Linked DNA regions of Anolis sagrei. The protein of the gene in region 2 interacts with the protein of the main gene of each other region in a pairwise test. Links are inferred from orthologs where the notes say so. Each region holds a gene or a part of one and is shown on either strand. Other genes may lie near its edges.

The links.
Region 1: the proteins of ARFIP2 (region 2) and ARF3 interact in a two-hybrid assay, tested with the Homo sapiens proteins (2 studies listed by BioGRID and IntAct). The link is inferred for Anolis sagrei from reciprocal best matches to the Homo sapiens genes ARFIP2 and ARF3.

The regions. Positions count from the first base shown.
Region 1 is NC_090022.1:137,920,101-137,927,607, forward strand, and holds the start of ARF3 (ADP-ribosylation factor 3), read right to left. Parts: upstream 3,317-7,507; 5' UTR 3,086-3,316; intron 3,080-3,085; exon of another isoform or gene 2,988-3,079; intron 1-2,987.
Region 2 is NC_090023.1:1,133,454-1,141,672, reverse strand, and holds the start of ARFIP2 (arfaptin-2), read right to left. Parts: upstream 3,133-8,219; 5' UTR 2,922-3,132; coding exon 2,808-2,921; intron 2,671-2,807; exon of another isoform or gene 2,659-2,670; intron 889-2,658; exon of another isoform or gene 870-888; intron 1-869. Other genes in the region: TIMM10B (mitochondrial import inner membrane translocase subunit Tim10 B), read left to right, coding at 3,179-3,214, 5,260-5,355, 5,461-5,625; DNHD1 (dynein heavy chain domain-containing protein 1), read left to right, coding at 5,809-5,833. UniProt on the Homo sapiens protein: Plays a role in constitutive metalloproteinase (MMP) secretion from the trans Golgi network. May have important functions during vesicle biogenesis at certain cargo subdomains, which could be predominantly utilized by secreted MMPs, such as MMP7 and MMP2.

The DNA.
Region 1 (7,507 bases), on a different chromosome or scaffold from region 2:
CTCTCATGACGTTTCGCCCACACCTATGGCAGACATCCTCAGAGGTTGTAAGGTCTGTTGGAAACTAGGCAAGTGAGGTTTATTTATCTGTGGAATATCCAGGGTGGGAGAAAGAACTCTTGTCTGTTTGATGCAAGTGTGAATGTTGCAAATGGTCACCTTGATTACAATTTAATGGTCTTGCAGCTTCAAAGCCTGGCTGATTGGTGTTCTGGGGGAATTCTTTGTTGGGAGATGTTAGCTAACCTTGATTGATTCTTCTCTGGAATTCCCGTTTTCTGTCCTGATTTTAGAGTTTTTAAATACTGGTAGCCAGATTTTGTTCATTTTTATGGTTTTGTCCACATGCTTGTGGATTTCAATGGCTTCTCTGCCTAGTCTGACATGGAAGTTGTTAAGAGTGTTCAAGCATTTCTGTGTTTTCAAATAATATGCTGTGCCCAGGTTGGTAAATAAAGGATGCTTGCCATAGATGTGGGTGAAATGTCAGGAGAGACTGTTTCTGGAACATGGCCATACAGCCCAGAAAATGCACAACTGAGTGATTCCAGCCATGAAAGCCTTCAACAACACATTTAGTACTTCCTTTAGTGTCCTATCTTTATGCTTCCCTGTGTAGTCTGACATGGTGATTGTTAAGAGTGCTCAAGCATTTCTGTGTTCTTAAATAATATGCTGTGTCCAGGTTGATTCATCATGTGCATGGCTGACTTCTCAGGTTGAATTAGTCTGCAGTGCCTTTCATGTTCCTTGATTCATGTTTGGGCAATTATGTGTTTGGTGGTCCCTATGTAGACTTGTCCACAGCTGCATGGTATACGGTAGACTCCTGCAGAGGTGAGAGGATTCCTCTTATCCTTTGCTGAACATAGCATTTGTTGGATTTTTCTTAGTGGGTCTGTAAATTGTTTGTACATTGTGTTTCTTCATCAGCTTCCCTATGCGGTCAGTGGTTTCTTTGATGTATAGTAAGAACACTTTTCCTATGTGTAGATTTTTGTCTTTACTCTCATCTTGGTCTTCTGGTGTCTGAGGTGGAGTATCCATTGGCCTGTAGAGCCCAGTTTAGGTGGTTCAGTTCACCTTGGAGGAGGTGGGGTTCGCAGGTTCTTTTTGCACGGCCTGCCAGGGCTTTAACTATGCTTCTTTTTTGACTTGGGTGATAGTTGGAGTTTTTATGTAGGTGTCTATCTGTGTGCGTAGGTTGTCTGTAAACTGTGTGGCCCAATTGTTGATAGGATTTGCAGACAACTAGGACATCTAGATATGGCAGTTTTCCTTCATTTTCTTTTTTTTCCATGGTGAATTGGATGTTTGTGTGGATGCTGTAGAGGTGGTCCAGGAACTTGATGAGTACTTTTCCTCCATGGCTCCAAGTGGTGAATGGTGAAGGTGTCAGCCAGGCTTTGAATCTGCAAGGCCATTCAATGCTAATCAAGGTGGCCAATGGCAACATTCACACTTGCCTCCAACAGACAAGAGTTCTTTCTCCCACCCTGGACATTATTCCAGAGATAAACCTCACTTTCCTAGTTTCCAACAGACCTCACAACCTCTAAGGATGCCTGCCATTGTAGTGAATACTTTTGGAACAAGGCCATACAGCCTGTAAAACTCACAGCAACCTATTATGATTTATTTATTTATTTACGTCATTTTATCCCACCCATTTCAGCCCGAAGGTGACTCAGGGCGGCGTACAAATCAACAACCAATTAGATGCCATATAAAAATACATACATTGGTTAAAAGCAAACAAAACAAAACAAAATCAAAAAACAAATCAAAAACTAAACCACATGAGAATACATTTAAAAACCATAAAAGCAATAAAAACAAAAATTATAAAACTTTGCCTTCCTGTTCAATTCCTCAACTGTTTCCATCGTCTTAGCTGTTCCTTGTTCGTATTCCAATTTGAGTCTGTCTGGTCATGCTGAAGTTCCAAATGTTGTGTATTTATATCCCACTGAAGGTAATTTTGTACAAAGTCAGAAAACAAAGGTGTCACAATTCCAGACACCCATGGGTTTCTGAGTTGCTGTGAGTTTTCGGGCAGTATGGCCATGTTCCTGAAGCATTCCCTCCTGATGTTTCACCCACATTTATGGCAGGCATCCACAGAGGTTGTCCTGTTTTAAGAGGTTTTTTTTTTAAAAAAATACTGGTAGCCTGATTTTGTTCATGTTCATCGTTTCCTCCTTTTTGTTGAAATTGTCCACATGCTTGTGGATTTCATTTTCTCTGTGTAGTCTGACATGGAAGTTGTTAGAGTGGTCCAGCATTTCTGTGTTCTCAAATAATATGCTGTGCCCAGGTTGGGAAATAAAGGATGCCTGCTATGGATGTGGGGGAAACGTCAGGAGAGAATGCTTCTGGAACATGGCCATACAGCCCAGAAAACTCCCCGCAACCCAGTGATTCTTGCCATGAAAGCCTTCGACAACACATCATCATTATCATCACCACCATAGAGAGGGGATGATAAGAGGGGACTGTTCAATGAGGAGGCAAAGAGCTGGTCCCGGCCCTTGTGCGTGGGACGCCCCTCTACCTCCAGGCCAGGCGCCCAAGGCCTGCTAGGCCTGGCTGCCTTCTTCCTCTCCGCCCTCCACACCTTGGCCAGGTACGGTGGCTCGGAGGGAGCTAGGACGGAGAGCTCCCTCGCCTCGCCTCCCCGCCCCCAGCTTTTTCTCTTCCTCCGCACAGAAGGATGACGAGGAGCAGAGCAGCCATGGCTCCCTGCCTGCCTCCTCCCTCACTCACTTGGTCACTGCACAAGCCGCACACAGCAGGTCCTCCCCGCCTCGCCTCCATCCCTGCCGCAACGCCCGCCCTTTGGCCCCCCGCTGGCCTCGGGACCGGCCTCCCCCTCCTCCTCCCTCACCCCTGCCCGCGCGCCCTTCAACCGCCATTTGCCTTTCCCCCCCTCTCTCCCTCTCCCTCACCCCCGCCATTCCCTCCCTCCCTCCCGCCGTGGAATCTACCTCCCTAACGGTTGGTTTCCTTGGTCACTGGCGGCAGCGGCGGCTGTTCCTCCTATTGCCGCCACCCCCGCAGGGCAAGCCGGGCCCGGGCAACCCACCTGCTTCCTGCGCGCGCGCTGCCTCCTCCTCCTCTTCCTCCTCCTCCTGCCGCCCAGCTGACTCTGCACTCTCCCAACAAGAGCAGCAGCAGCAGCAGCGAATCCCCCCTCCCTTTCTCTCTCTCTTGCGCGCGCGCGCTCTCTCTCTCTTTCACGCGCCGGCCCTCCTCCTCCTTCTCCCCGCACCCGGAAGCAAGGAACAGCAGCGGCATCCGTTCTCCAGGCCCGTGAACACGAGACGCTCTCGCGAGACCTCGCCGCCGCCCCCTCGCGAGATTTCCCCCCGGTGTCCTTCGTTTCCATGGTAGCGTCCGCAGCCACTGCTCCTGCTGCAAGGCGCGGGGGAGGAGGGCTTCCAGGGAGGGAGTCCTTGAAAGGCGCCCTGCTGTGGTGGTGGTGGTGGTGTTGTTGTGGGGGGGACGGTGTTCCTGAACAGGAGGGGACGAAGGGGAAGCCAAGCAGGGAGGGGGCCACGACGGCCAAAGAGCACCGAAGGCCAAACGCTCATGGCAATGTAGACGTGCGCGCGAGAGTGGCAACACCGAGGCCGCACTTCACAGAGAAAGCAGTAACCTTCACATTCACAACACGGAGCCCTGTCACGCTGCACTGTCAAATCGCGATGATTCCGCTTCAACGTGCTGTGGGTGTTGCCATGGCAATAGGAGTGCAATCATAGTGCTGTATCTCTCATAGAATCCTAGAGTTGGAAGAGACCTCATGGGCTATCCAGTCCAACCCCCTGCCAAGAAGCAGGAAAATCGCATTCAAAGCACCCCCGATAGATGGCCATCCAGCCTCTGTTTTAAAGCTTCCAAAGAAGGAGCCTCCACCACATTCTGATCAGCTCTCACAATCAGGAAGTTCTTCCTCATGTTCAAATGGAAACTCCTTTCTTGTAGTTTGAGCTCATGAGATTAGACCAGGCATGGGCAAACTTGGGCCCTCCAGCTGTTAGGAATTGTGGGAGTTGGAGTCCAAAACACCTGGAGGGCCCAAGTTTGCCCATGCCTGGATTAGACCCAAAGTCAGCAGAGTTTAACTTCTGGCCCTCCAGATGTTAAGGAATAGCACCCGAGAACAATGCCACAGTATCATAGCACTGTTATTCCACTTTAACTGCCATGGCAACATCTTGTGGAGTTTGTCTTTTAATGAGGACCAAGAGCTCTCTGGCGGAGGACTGTAAAGGGGCCTTTCAAGACAGCAAATCCCACTATCCCCTAGCACAGTGGTTCTCAACCTGCAGGTTCCCAGGTGTTTTGCCCTACAACTCCCAGAAATCCCACTACTTCACCACACTAGAGAATAAATCTGCCTAGTAGTTGCAGTGGAATTATAACATCTACATGCCTGTTTTATATAAAGTTTTTTATTTGCCATCTGTTAGCCTAACCTTATAGGAAAGATGTATATTTCTAAGGAGGAGAGGGGAGTCCCCTGATTCATGGTGCAGCCATTAGAGTCCTACAGAGTGCTTATTGCCTCCAAAGTCTCCTATGTTTTATAGCCTGGATAATCAGGGTGAGAGCCCCCCCCCCCCTCCCCAGGTTGAAAATGCTGCTGTTGAATGCCAGTAAATGGAAAACCAACTGTCACCCAGGACTTGATCCTGGATGAATATGCTGACCTGGTCTATATCACAGAGACCGGGCTGGATGAGACTGGGTTGGACAATTTCTCTCAGCTCTGCCCACCAGGATTCTCTGTGCAACAGCAGGCAAGGTCTGGGAGGTGGAGTTGCAGTGGTCTATTGTGATTCCATCCCCGTGACCAGGTTCTCCATCCCACAGTCACCAGGGTTCAAGTGTTTACCTAAAAGTGGGTAACTGGGACATAATAGGGATTCTCTTGGTGTACTGTGTGGAATAGAAGAATGGGATATTTAAAGACTGGTCTGTAACATTGTTTAGTGCTTAAAAATATTAATAGAAGATAAATGGTAAGACAGATGTTAGATAACAAAAATAATATTTGTGTCCCCCCCCCAATCTTTCTTATGATACATTGTTAGTTAAGAGTCTTGGTACTATAATGTGTGTGTGATATTATCTTGGGGTAGGGTTGAGAAGTTTCCTTCAAAATATGATGCACAGTTTATTATTATTAGAAAGTTTACATTCACCAATGTTAGAAAACTACATTATGTGTAGGGGGCAGTTCCTGAAGGTCTGAAGATCATTGTAATTTAGTGGTATTGGACATTATACAGATGCAAGTTTTGGTAGTTTTACATATCTTTGTGTGTTCTGTTTTGTCTTTTTCTTTACCCACCTTTCCACCAATTTACATTGCAACCAGTGCAATAGCTGATATAGTGGAAGCAACTAAGCTGGCCCACCCCCAACTGGCAGGCAAAGGCTAAGGCGAAGGGTGAATTTGAAGGCCTTCCTGAAGGAGGCCAGACTTGGTGGTGGTGGTGGTGGTGCAGGGGGGAGGTTGACAGGGGTGGAGCTGCAGACTATTTAGTTTATATTTAATATAAATAAAAACCACAAAAATAATATCTATTTTGCTCCTTAATTCAACCTTATGTTTTTGTCTACTATACAATGACCAATCATTTACAGATCTGCCTTGGTTCAGTGAAGTGACAGTCTAGTCTATCTGCCTCTTATTAAACTTGTGCTGTTTGAACTTCTCCACTCATTGACTTTCTTTCTGTGTTTGCAATAACCCCTAAATGCTTTCACAGCCTCTGCTAGCATTCTGCAAACCATACATTTCCACCCCAGTGTCCTATCTCAAATGGAAAATGTATCTGATTTCTCCATCTGCATGTTTTTTGCCCATCTGACATTGGGGCGGGGGAGGAGGAGAACAAAAGTTTAATATTGGAACCTTTAGTGGTAGCCTGACATAAAAGAAAGAGATGAAATAGATATGAAAATGAATTGATGGAGGAAAGGATCCAGCTGCAGGTCTACAATCAGTGTGATTCAGTATGGGGAAGCCTTATTTAATGGGAGGGATTGGGAGAATATAATAGATGTGACAGGAAAAAAAACCATAGACTTCAGATACTGTACAAGGCAAGTGGGCCACCAGATCATATTCTGCTTGCTTTAATATCAAAGCTAAGCTCTTTCCATGCATCCCTCTTACTTATGGAGTGGGCAAAGTAGTCTTTATCAGGAGTCATCCTATTGCAGATACATTTAACAGTGGAATTTGACAACCCAAAATATGTTGAATATTACCACCTACATCTCGCAAATTTTCTGATTGGTGCTGAACTGCCTCTGACTTTTTGATAAGGGCTGCAAAACTGTACCCACGCACCTGGAAATAGGTCCCACTGAATTCATTCGTTCACATTTATTCACAGACTTGGAGAGGATTATACTTTCAATGAAGTATGAGGGAGTAATGAAGGAAAGGAGCAAAGAGCGACATCTTCCTTCTGGTTTTGGCAAACAGATTCATTTGGCAGCACATTGAACAGGAAAGGCATGAAACAGACTGCTAAAGGAATCTCTCCCATTCATCTCATCATAGGATTTCCCAATGCTTTATGTTCTCATCTTAATCTAGACATACATGAGCAACAGAATCCACAAGTTTAGACCATGGTATTGGCCTAAAATGCAAACACTCAACAGCCATTTGCATTGCCTCCACTAGTCAGGCCGATAGTGGTTTGAATTAACCCTGATGGTGATATTCACAGTGGGAGAGTTAGATTCATTTCCTCCCACTCCTGAAGCCATAACTCCTGTTTGCTTCATCTAGAGCAGGGGTCCTCAAACTAAGCCCCGGGGACCAGATATGGCCCTCCAAGGTCATTTACCCAGCCCTTGCTCGGGGTCTACCTAAGTCTGAAATGACTTGAAAGCATATAACAACAACAACAATCCTATCTCATCAGCCAAAAGCAGGCCCACACTTCCCATTGAAATACTAATAAGTTTATATTTGTTTAAACTGTTCTTCATTTTAATTATTGTATTGTTTTAAAGTGTTTTTTTGCACTACAAATAAGATATGTTCAGTGTGCATAGGAATTAATTCATGCTTATTTCAAATTATAATCCGGCCCTCCAATAGTTTGAGGGACTGTGACCTGGCCCTCTGTTTAAAAAGTTTGAGGACCCCTGATCTAGAGAGACAATGGAATACAGAGATGGTTCAAAACAAATCTGTGCAGTGATGTGGAAGTAATTTACTGAAATGTGAATAAAACCTTTAATTTTTCATGTGGCGTTAGGTACAGTACTGCAAGTTTGCCAGTTGAAGAGGCACCTCTGCTTTGAAATACACCAGGCTGTGTTTACACCATGAGGAATATTTTTGTCCCTTTATATGGATTGGGTTTTTTTTACTATGCTTCCTTACAGCTTTCCCTCTTGGTGAACAATCTTCTAAATGAAAATATGTCAGCCAACCTTTTAATTATAAATGAACATACGATCAAAATACAAA
Region 2 (8,219 bases):
ATCTCCAGCCCATCCCGTTTGGATATCAGCCAGCACATCAACGACTTAAATCTAGAAATAGTTTTCTAAGATCTACAGAGACATTCGCTGGAACCCCTCAGCAAGCGAGAGTCCAAAAGTGGCAGGCTCAAACCCAGAACTTCAACCAATGGCTGATACCAAATGAGAGACTCCCCCCTGGGCACATGGAAGACTGGGCGACTTGGAGGGCGCTGAACAGACTGTGCTCTGGCACCACGAGATGCAGAGCCAACCTTCAGAAATGGGGCTACAAAGTGGAATCCTCGACATGCGAGTGCGGAGAAGAGCAAACCACTGACCCCCTGCCACATGCACCAGGGAGGATCTTCTTATAGTAACACCAGAGGCACTCCAAGTGGCCAGAGACTGCTCAAAGGACATTTAACCAACTACCAAACTCACAAATTCTGTGTTTTGTCTGTTTGTTTGCTTTGTTCTGTTAGAAATATAATATAATTGACTGCTTATTTATTTTATTTATTTATTTGCTTTATTTCTATACCGCATTTTTCAGCCCAAAAAGGCGACTCAATGCAGTTTGCTTGCCGTGAAACGACAAATAAATAGACACTTAGGAAAGGGATCGACTTATGATTTTGTGATATGAAACCTAGCACAGAGATCTTGTTTGCTGTGACATATTGTGGTTTTGTGTCAGTAAAATAATAATAATAATTATGGCTGTGGTTTGGCTGCATTTCCTCCTGACATTTCACCTGCTATTCGAGCACCACCACAACACCAATAATAATAATAATATTATTAAAAGTAATAAGGGTCCCTGCTTAACCCCTCCCCACCCCCACCCCCCACCCAATCTCCCCAGGTAAGCCCCTCCCTCCATTCACCTGCTCGAGGCCATTATCCTCTGAGTGGTAATAATAAGTGTCCAATAATAATAATAATAATAATAATAATAATAATAAGTGTCCATCGTGTGACCCAGTACAACAGCCAGCAGATTGTCTGCTGTAGTGTTATCCTGTTGTGTTTCTAATAATAATAATAATAATAATAATAATAATAATAATAATAATAAGTGTCCAATGTGTAATCCAATTCAACAGCCAGCAGAGTGTCTGCTGTGGACTCATCTTGTTATGTTTCTAATAATAATAATAATAATAATAATAATAATAATAATAATAGTCCTAGGCACTTGGGAAGTGTCTGACATGTGGACTCATCTTGTTGTGTTTCAAATAATAACAGTAATAATAATAATAATAATAATAATTCAACAGCCAGCAGAGTGTCTGCTGTGGACTCATCTTGTTGTGTTTCAAATAATAATAATAATAATAATAATAATAATAATAATAATGTGTCCGACATGGGATCCAATGCAACAGCCAGCAGAGTGTCTGCTGTGGACTCATCTTGTTATGTTTCTAATAATAATAATAATGATAATGATAATAATAATAATGTATTGTGGAAAGCTTTCACGGCTGGAATGACGGCTCTCTTGTGTGCTTATCCAGGTTGTAGGGCTGTGGTCTGGCACCATTTCCTCCTGACATTTCGCCTGCTATTCAAGCACCACCACAACACCAATAATAATATTATAATATTATAATATTACAATAATAATATTATGACTATGAGTAATAAGGGACCCTGCTTGACCCCTCCCCACCCCCAATCTCCCCAGGTAAGCCCCTCCCTCACTTGTGTGCTTATCCAGGTTGTAGGGCTGTGGTCTGGCAGCATTTCCTCCTGACATTTCACCTGCTGTTCGAGCACCACCACAACACCAATAATAATATCATTACTACGAGTCATACGGGTCCCTGCTTGACCCCTCCCCACCCCCCACCCACCCAACCTCCCCAGGTAAGCCCCTCCTTCAATTCACCTGCTCGAGGTCATCATCATCTGAGGGACCCCCACCACCCCCCACCCAATCTCCCCAGGTAAGCCCCTCCCTCAATTGTGTGCTTATCCAGGTTGTAGGGCTGTGGCCTGGCAGCATTTCCTCCTGACATTTCGCCTGTTATTTGAGCACCACCACAACACCAATAATAATAATACTATTAATGGTAATAAGGGACCCTGCTTGACCCCTCCCCACCCCCACCCCCACCCCCAGCCCCCATCCAATCTCCCCAGGTAAGGGCTGTGGTCTGGCAGCATTTCCTCCTGACATTTCACCTGCTATTCGAGCACCACCACAACACCAATAATAATACTATTACTGAGAGTAATACGGGTCCCTGCTTGACCCCTCCCCACCCCCCCCACACCCAACCTCCCAGGTAAGCCCCTCCCTCAGTTGTGTGCTTATCCAGGTTGTAGGGCTGTGGCCTGGCAGCATTTCTTCCTGACATTTTGCCTGCTACTCAAGCACCACCACAACACCAATAATAATATTATTACTACGAGTAATACGGGTCCCTGCTTGACCTCTCCCCATCCCACCCACCCAACCTCCCAGGTAAGCCCCTCCCTCAATTTACCTGCTCGACCGCCCCCCACCCCCCCACCCAATCTCCCCAGGTAAGTCCCCCCCTCAATTCACCTGCTACCCCACCCCCTACCAACCCAACCTCTCCAGGTGAGCCCCTCCCTCCATTCCCCTGCTACCCCACTCCCCACCCACCTAACCTCTCCAGGTGAGCCCCTCCCTCAATTCACCTGCTCGAGGCCATCATCTTCTGAGGGACCCTCACCCCACCTCACCCCTCACCCACCCAATCTCCCCAGGTGAGCCCCTGCCTCAATTCCCCTGCTACCCCACCCCACCCCCACCCACCCTCTCCAGGTGAGCCCCTCCCTCAATGCACCTGCTCGAGGCCATCATCCTCGGAGGTGGTGGAGGGTCCCATCCGCCGGGAGTCTCCGTTGCCGTGGATGGGGACCTCCATGGTGGCCGCCTTGCTCATCAGCCCCTCCGTCATCCTGGACGAGGAGCAGGAGGGGGACAGGTGAGCTTGTGTACCTGCCTCCCAGGTGCACAGGTGCGCTCTAGGCCCCTCCCTCTTCCTTCCCTCCCTCTCTCCCGGAACTGGGGCCACGTCGCCTTCCTCCTCCTCCTCCTCCGCCGCCTTGGGCCCCCGGGAGGACCGGAAGCGACGTCACGGCGGCCCCAGGGTCGGGGGGAGAGAGAGGAAGGAAGGAAGGAGTCAAGGGGGAAGCAAAGCGGAAGTGACGCAGGATGGCGGAGAGCGAGCAGCAGCAGCAACTGCGCAGCGTGAGTCTTCCCAAACAAGGGGGCGGGGCTTCCCATCCTTCCCTCCAGGCGCTTTGGACTACAACTCCCACAATTCCTAACAGCCGGGACGGCTGTTAGGAATTGTGGGAGTTGTAGTCCAAAGCGCCTGGAGGGCCCAAGCTAGGCCTTGCTTCCCTAACGCTTGGGCATTGTGGGAGTTGTAGTCCAAAGCGCCTGGAGGGCCCAAGCTAGGCTCTGAAGGAGATCTTTGCTTTCCTAACACTCTGGAATTGTGGGAGTTGTAGTCCAAAGCGCTTAGAGGGCCCAAGCTAGGCTCTGAGAGAGGGCTTGGCTTTCCTAACACTTGGGGATTGTGGGAGTTGTAGTCCAAAGCGCCTGGAGGGGCCAAGCTAGGCTCTGAAAGAGATCTTTGCTTTCCTAACGCTTAGGGATTGTGGGAGTTGTAGTCCAAAGCGCCTGGAGGGCCCAAGCTAGGCTCTGAAAGAGATCTTTGCTTTCCTAACGCTTGGGGATTGTGGGAGTTGTAGTCCAAAGCGCCTGGAGGGCCCAAGCTAGGCCTTGCTTCCCTAACGCTTGGGCATTGTGGGAGTTGTAGTCCAAAGCGCCTGGAGGGCCCTAGCTAGGCTTTGCTTCCCCAACACTTGGGCATTGTGGGAGTTGTAGTCCAAAGCGCCTGAAGGGCCCAAGCTAGGCTCTGAAAGAGATCTTTGCTTCCCTAACTCTTGGGGATTGTGGGAGTTGTAGTCCAAAGCGCCTGGAGGGCCCAAGCTAGGCTTTGCTTCCCTAACACTTGGGGATTGTGGGAGTTGTAGTCCAAAGCGCCTGAAGGGCCCAAGCTAGGCTCTGAAAGAGATCTTTGCTTCCCTAACTCTTGGGGATTGTGGGAGTTGTAGTCCAAAGCGCCTGGAGGGCCCAAGCTAGGCTTTGCTTCCCTAACACTTGGGGATTGTGGGAGTTGTAGTCCAAAGCGCCTGGAGGGCCCGAGCTAGGCTCTGAAAGAGATCTTTGCTTCCCTAACACTTGGGAATTGTGGGAGTTGTAGTCCAAAGCGCCTGGAGGGCCCAAGCTAGGCTCTGAAAAAGATCTTTGCTTCCCTAACTCTTGGGGATTGTGGGAGTTGTAGTCCAAAGCGCCTGGAGGGGCCAAGCTAGGCTTTGCTTCCCTAACACTTGGGGATTGTGGGAGTTGTAGTCCAAAGCGCCTGGAGGGCCCAAGCTAGGCTCTGAAAGAGATCTTTGCTTCCCTAACACTTGGGAATTGTGGGAGTTGTAGTCCAAAGCGCCTGGAGGGCCCAAGCTAGGCTTTGCTTCCCTAACACTTGGGGATTGTGGGAGTTGTAGTCCAAAGCGCCTGGAGGGCCCGAGCTAGGCTCTGAAAGAGATCTTTGCTTCCCTAACACTTGGGAATTGTGGGAGTTGTAGTCCAAAGCGCCTGGAGGGCCCAAGCCAGGCTCTGAAAGAGATCTTTGCTTTCCTAACACTTGGGGATTGTGGGAGTTGCAGTCCAAAGCGCCTGGAGGGCCCAAGCTAGGCTTTGCTTCCCTAACACTTGGGGATTGTGGGAGTTGTAGTCCAAAGCGCCTGGAGGGCCCAAGCCAGGCTCTGAAAGAGATCTTTGCTTTCCTAACACTTGGGGATTGTGGGAGTTGCAGTCCAAAGCGCCTGGAGGGCCCAAGCTAGGCTTTGCTTCCCTAACACTTGGGGATTGTGGGAGTTGTAGTCCAAAGCGCCTGGAGCGCCCAAGCTCGGCTCTGAAAGAGATCTTTGCTTCCCTAACACTTAGGAATTGTGGGAGTTGTAGTCCAAAGCACTTGGAGGGCCCTAGCTAGGCTCTGAGAGAGGAATTTGCTTTCCTAACAGTCGGGAATTGTGGGAGTTGTAGTCCAAAGCGCCTGGAGGGCCCAGCTGGGCTCTGAGAGAGGGATTAGCTTTCCCAAAACTGGGGGATTGTGGGAGTTGTAGTCCAAAGTGCCTGGAAGGCCTGAGCTAGGCCTTGCTTTCCTAACACTTGGGGATTGTGGGAGTTGTAGTCCAAACGTCTTATCTGTCTCCTTCCTGTTCCAGCTGCGGGACTTCCTGCTGGTCTACAACCGGATGACGGAGCTCTGCTTCCGGCGCTGCGTCCCGGGATTACTCCAGCGAGGCCTAGACGGGAGCGAGGTGAGGGCAAAAGGCGCCGGAAGTGCGGGGGAAAACCACTTCCTGTGGCTTCTTCCGCCATTCTGATCCCAGCGGTGCCTCTCTTTCCCTCTCTCTCTATGGCAGGAGGCGTGCCTGGAGGGCTGCGCGGGGAAGCTGGTCCGCTCCAATCAGCGCCTGATCTCGGCCTACGTGCGCCTCATGCCAGTCTTGGTCCAGCGCCGCCTGCAGGAGGGCGGGCCCGCCAAGCCGGAAGGGGAGGAGCCTCCCACGCCCGGAAGTGGGGACTGAAGCAATGCCCTTACTCAAATACAAACGCCTTTTCCTCCTCCAAGCCTCCTCATTGGTTGAGCTCACCCAAAGGGGAGGGACATCCTCTGCACGGCTAGAGCGGACTTCCGGAAGGGCGGGAGGGGGGACGTTAGGCTTCCTTAGCAACGCCCCTGGCAACGCTCACTCTCCTCCTCAGCAGCCATGGAGTCTCCCGCGCCAGAGAAGGGTAAAGCAAGGCCAGGGGGGCCCTGAGCATGTGCAGAGGGCATTGTGTACAGCAGTGGCTCGTTGTAGGCTTTCCTGGCTGTGTTCCAGAAGCACTCTCTCCTGACGTTTTGCCCACATGCACAGAGATAGTGAATTCAGCTTGATTAGCGTTTAATGGCCTTGCAACTTCAAGGTCTGGCTGCCTGCTGCCTGGGAGAAGATTTTCTTTTGCCCACATCTATGGCAGGCATCCTCAGAGGTTGTGAGGTCAGCTTGATTAGCGTTTAATGGCCTTGCAACTTCAAGATCTGGCTGCCTGCTGCCTGGGAGAAGATTTTCTTTCCACCATCCTGGACATCATTCCACCTCTGAGGATGCCTGACATACATGCATAGAATGCTCCTGGAACGTGGACACACAGCCCCGGAAAACTTATGGCAATCCACTGCAGAGAGTTCCACTGCTGAACGGTTCCGAGCCCCTATAAAAGAGAGGGCGGTCTAGGAACAATGTATTGTTATTATTATTGTGTTGTCAAAGGAAGGCTCTCACTGGGTTGCTGTGAGTCTTCCGTCTGGCCCTCTTCTGGAAGGAGACTCTAGTCCGCTCCACTGCAGAGAGTCCCACAGTTGAACAACTCTGAGTCCCCATGGGGAGAGACAGCGGTTTACAAATGAAGTATTATTATTATTATTGGGTTGTCGAAAGCTTTCATGACTGGAATCACTAGGTTGCTGTGAGTCTTCAGTCTGGTCCTCTTCCGGAAGGAGACTCCAGTACACTCCACTGCAGAGAGTTCCACAGTTGAACAGCTCTGAGCCCCTATAAAGAGGGCGGTCTAGAAACAAAGTATTATTATTATTGTGTTGTCAAAGGAAGGCTCTCACTGGGTTGCTATGAGTCTTCCGTCTGGTCCTCTTTCGGAAGGAGACTCCAGTCCACTCCACTGCATAGAGTTCCACAGTTGAACAGCTCTGAGTCCCTATAAAGAGAGAGAGCGGTCTAGAAATAAAGTATTTCATTATTATTGTGTTGTCAAAGGAAGGCTCTCATGGCCGGAATCACTGGGTTGCTGTGAGTCTTTCGTCTGGATCTCGTCCAGAAGGAGACTCCAATCCACTCCACTTCAGAGAGTTCCACAGTTGAACAGCTCTGAGTCCCTATAAAGAGAGAGGGTGGTCTAGAAACATTGTTATTATTATTGTGTTGTCAAAGGAAGGCTCTCATGGCCGGAATCACTGGGTTGCTATGAGTCTTCCGTCTGGACCTCTTCCGGAAGGAGACTCCAATCAACTCCACTGCAGAGAGTTCCACAGTTGAACAGCTCTTCAGTCCCTATGGGGAGAGAAGGCGGTCTACAAATGAAGGATTATTATTATTATTATTATTGGTTGTCGAAAGCTTTCATGAAACTTACGGCAATCCACTGCAGAGAGTTCCACTTCTGAACAGCTCTGAGTCCCTATAAAGAGAGAGGGCGGTCTAGAAACAAAGTATTGTTGTTATTATTATTGTGTTGTCAAAGGAAGGCTCTCATGACCGGAATCACTGGGTTGCTGTGAGTCTTCCGTCTGGACCTCTTCCAGAAGGAGACTCCAATTCACTCCACTGCAGAGAGTTCCACTGCTGAACAGCTCTGAGTTCCTATAAAGAGAGAGGGCGGTCTAGAAATATAGTATTGTTATTATTATTGTGTTGTCAAAGGAAGGCTCTCACTGGATTGCTGTCAGTCTTCCGTCTAGCCCTCTTCTGGAAGGAGACTCCACTCCACTGCAGAGAGTTCCACAGTTGAACAGATCTGAGTCCCCATGGGGAGAGACTGCGGTTTACAAATGAAGTATTATTATTATTAATGAGTTGTCGAAAGCTTTCATGACTGGAATCACTTCCAGGTGGAAGGCGGTCTCGGTCAGGGTGGGCTTGACGTGCCTTCCTCTTGGCACGTTTCTCTCTTTCGCCCTCCATTCGTGCCTCTTCAAATTCTACAACACTGCTGGTCACAGCTGACCTCCAACTGGAGCGCTCAAGGGCCAGGGCTTCCCAGTTCTCAGTGTCTATGCCAGAGACTTTAAGGTTGGCTTTGAGCCCGTATTTCAATCTCTTTTCCTGCCCATCAACATTCCGTTTTCCGTTCTTGAGTTCGGAGTAGAGCAACTGCTTTGGGAGACGGTGGTCGGGCATCCGGACAACGTGGCCGGCCCAGCGGAGTTGATGGCGGAGGACCATCGCTTCAATGCTGGTGTTCTTGGCTTCTTCCAGCACGCTGTTTCCCCGCCTGTCTTCCCAAGAGATTTGCAGGATTTTCCAGCGCTGATATACACACACAACACACACATACGCAGACTGGGTTACAGCAATACTTGGCAAGGGGGCGGCTAGTCAATCAATAAAAACATAACACAGAC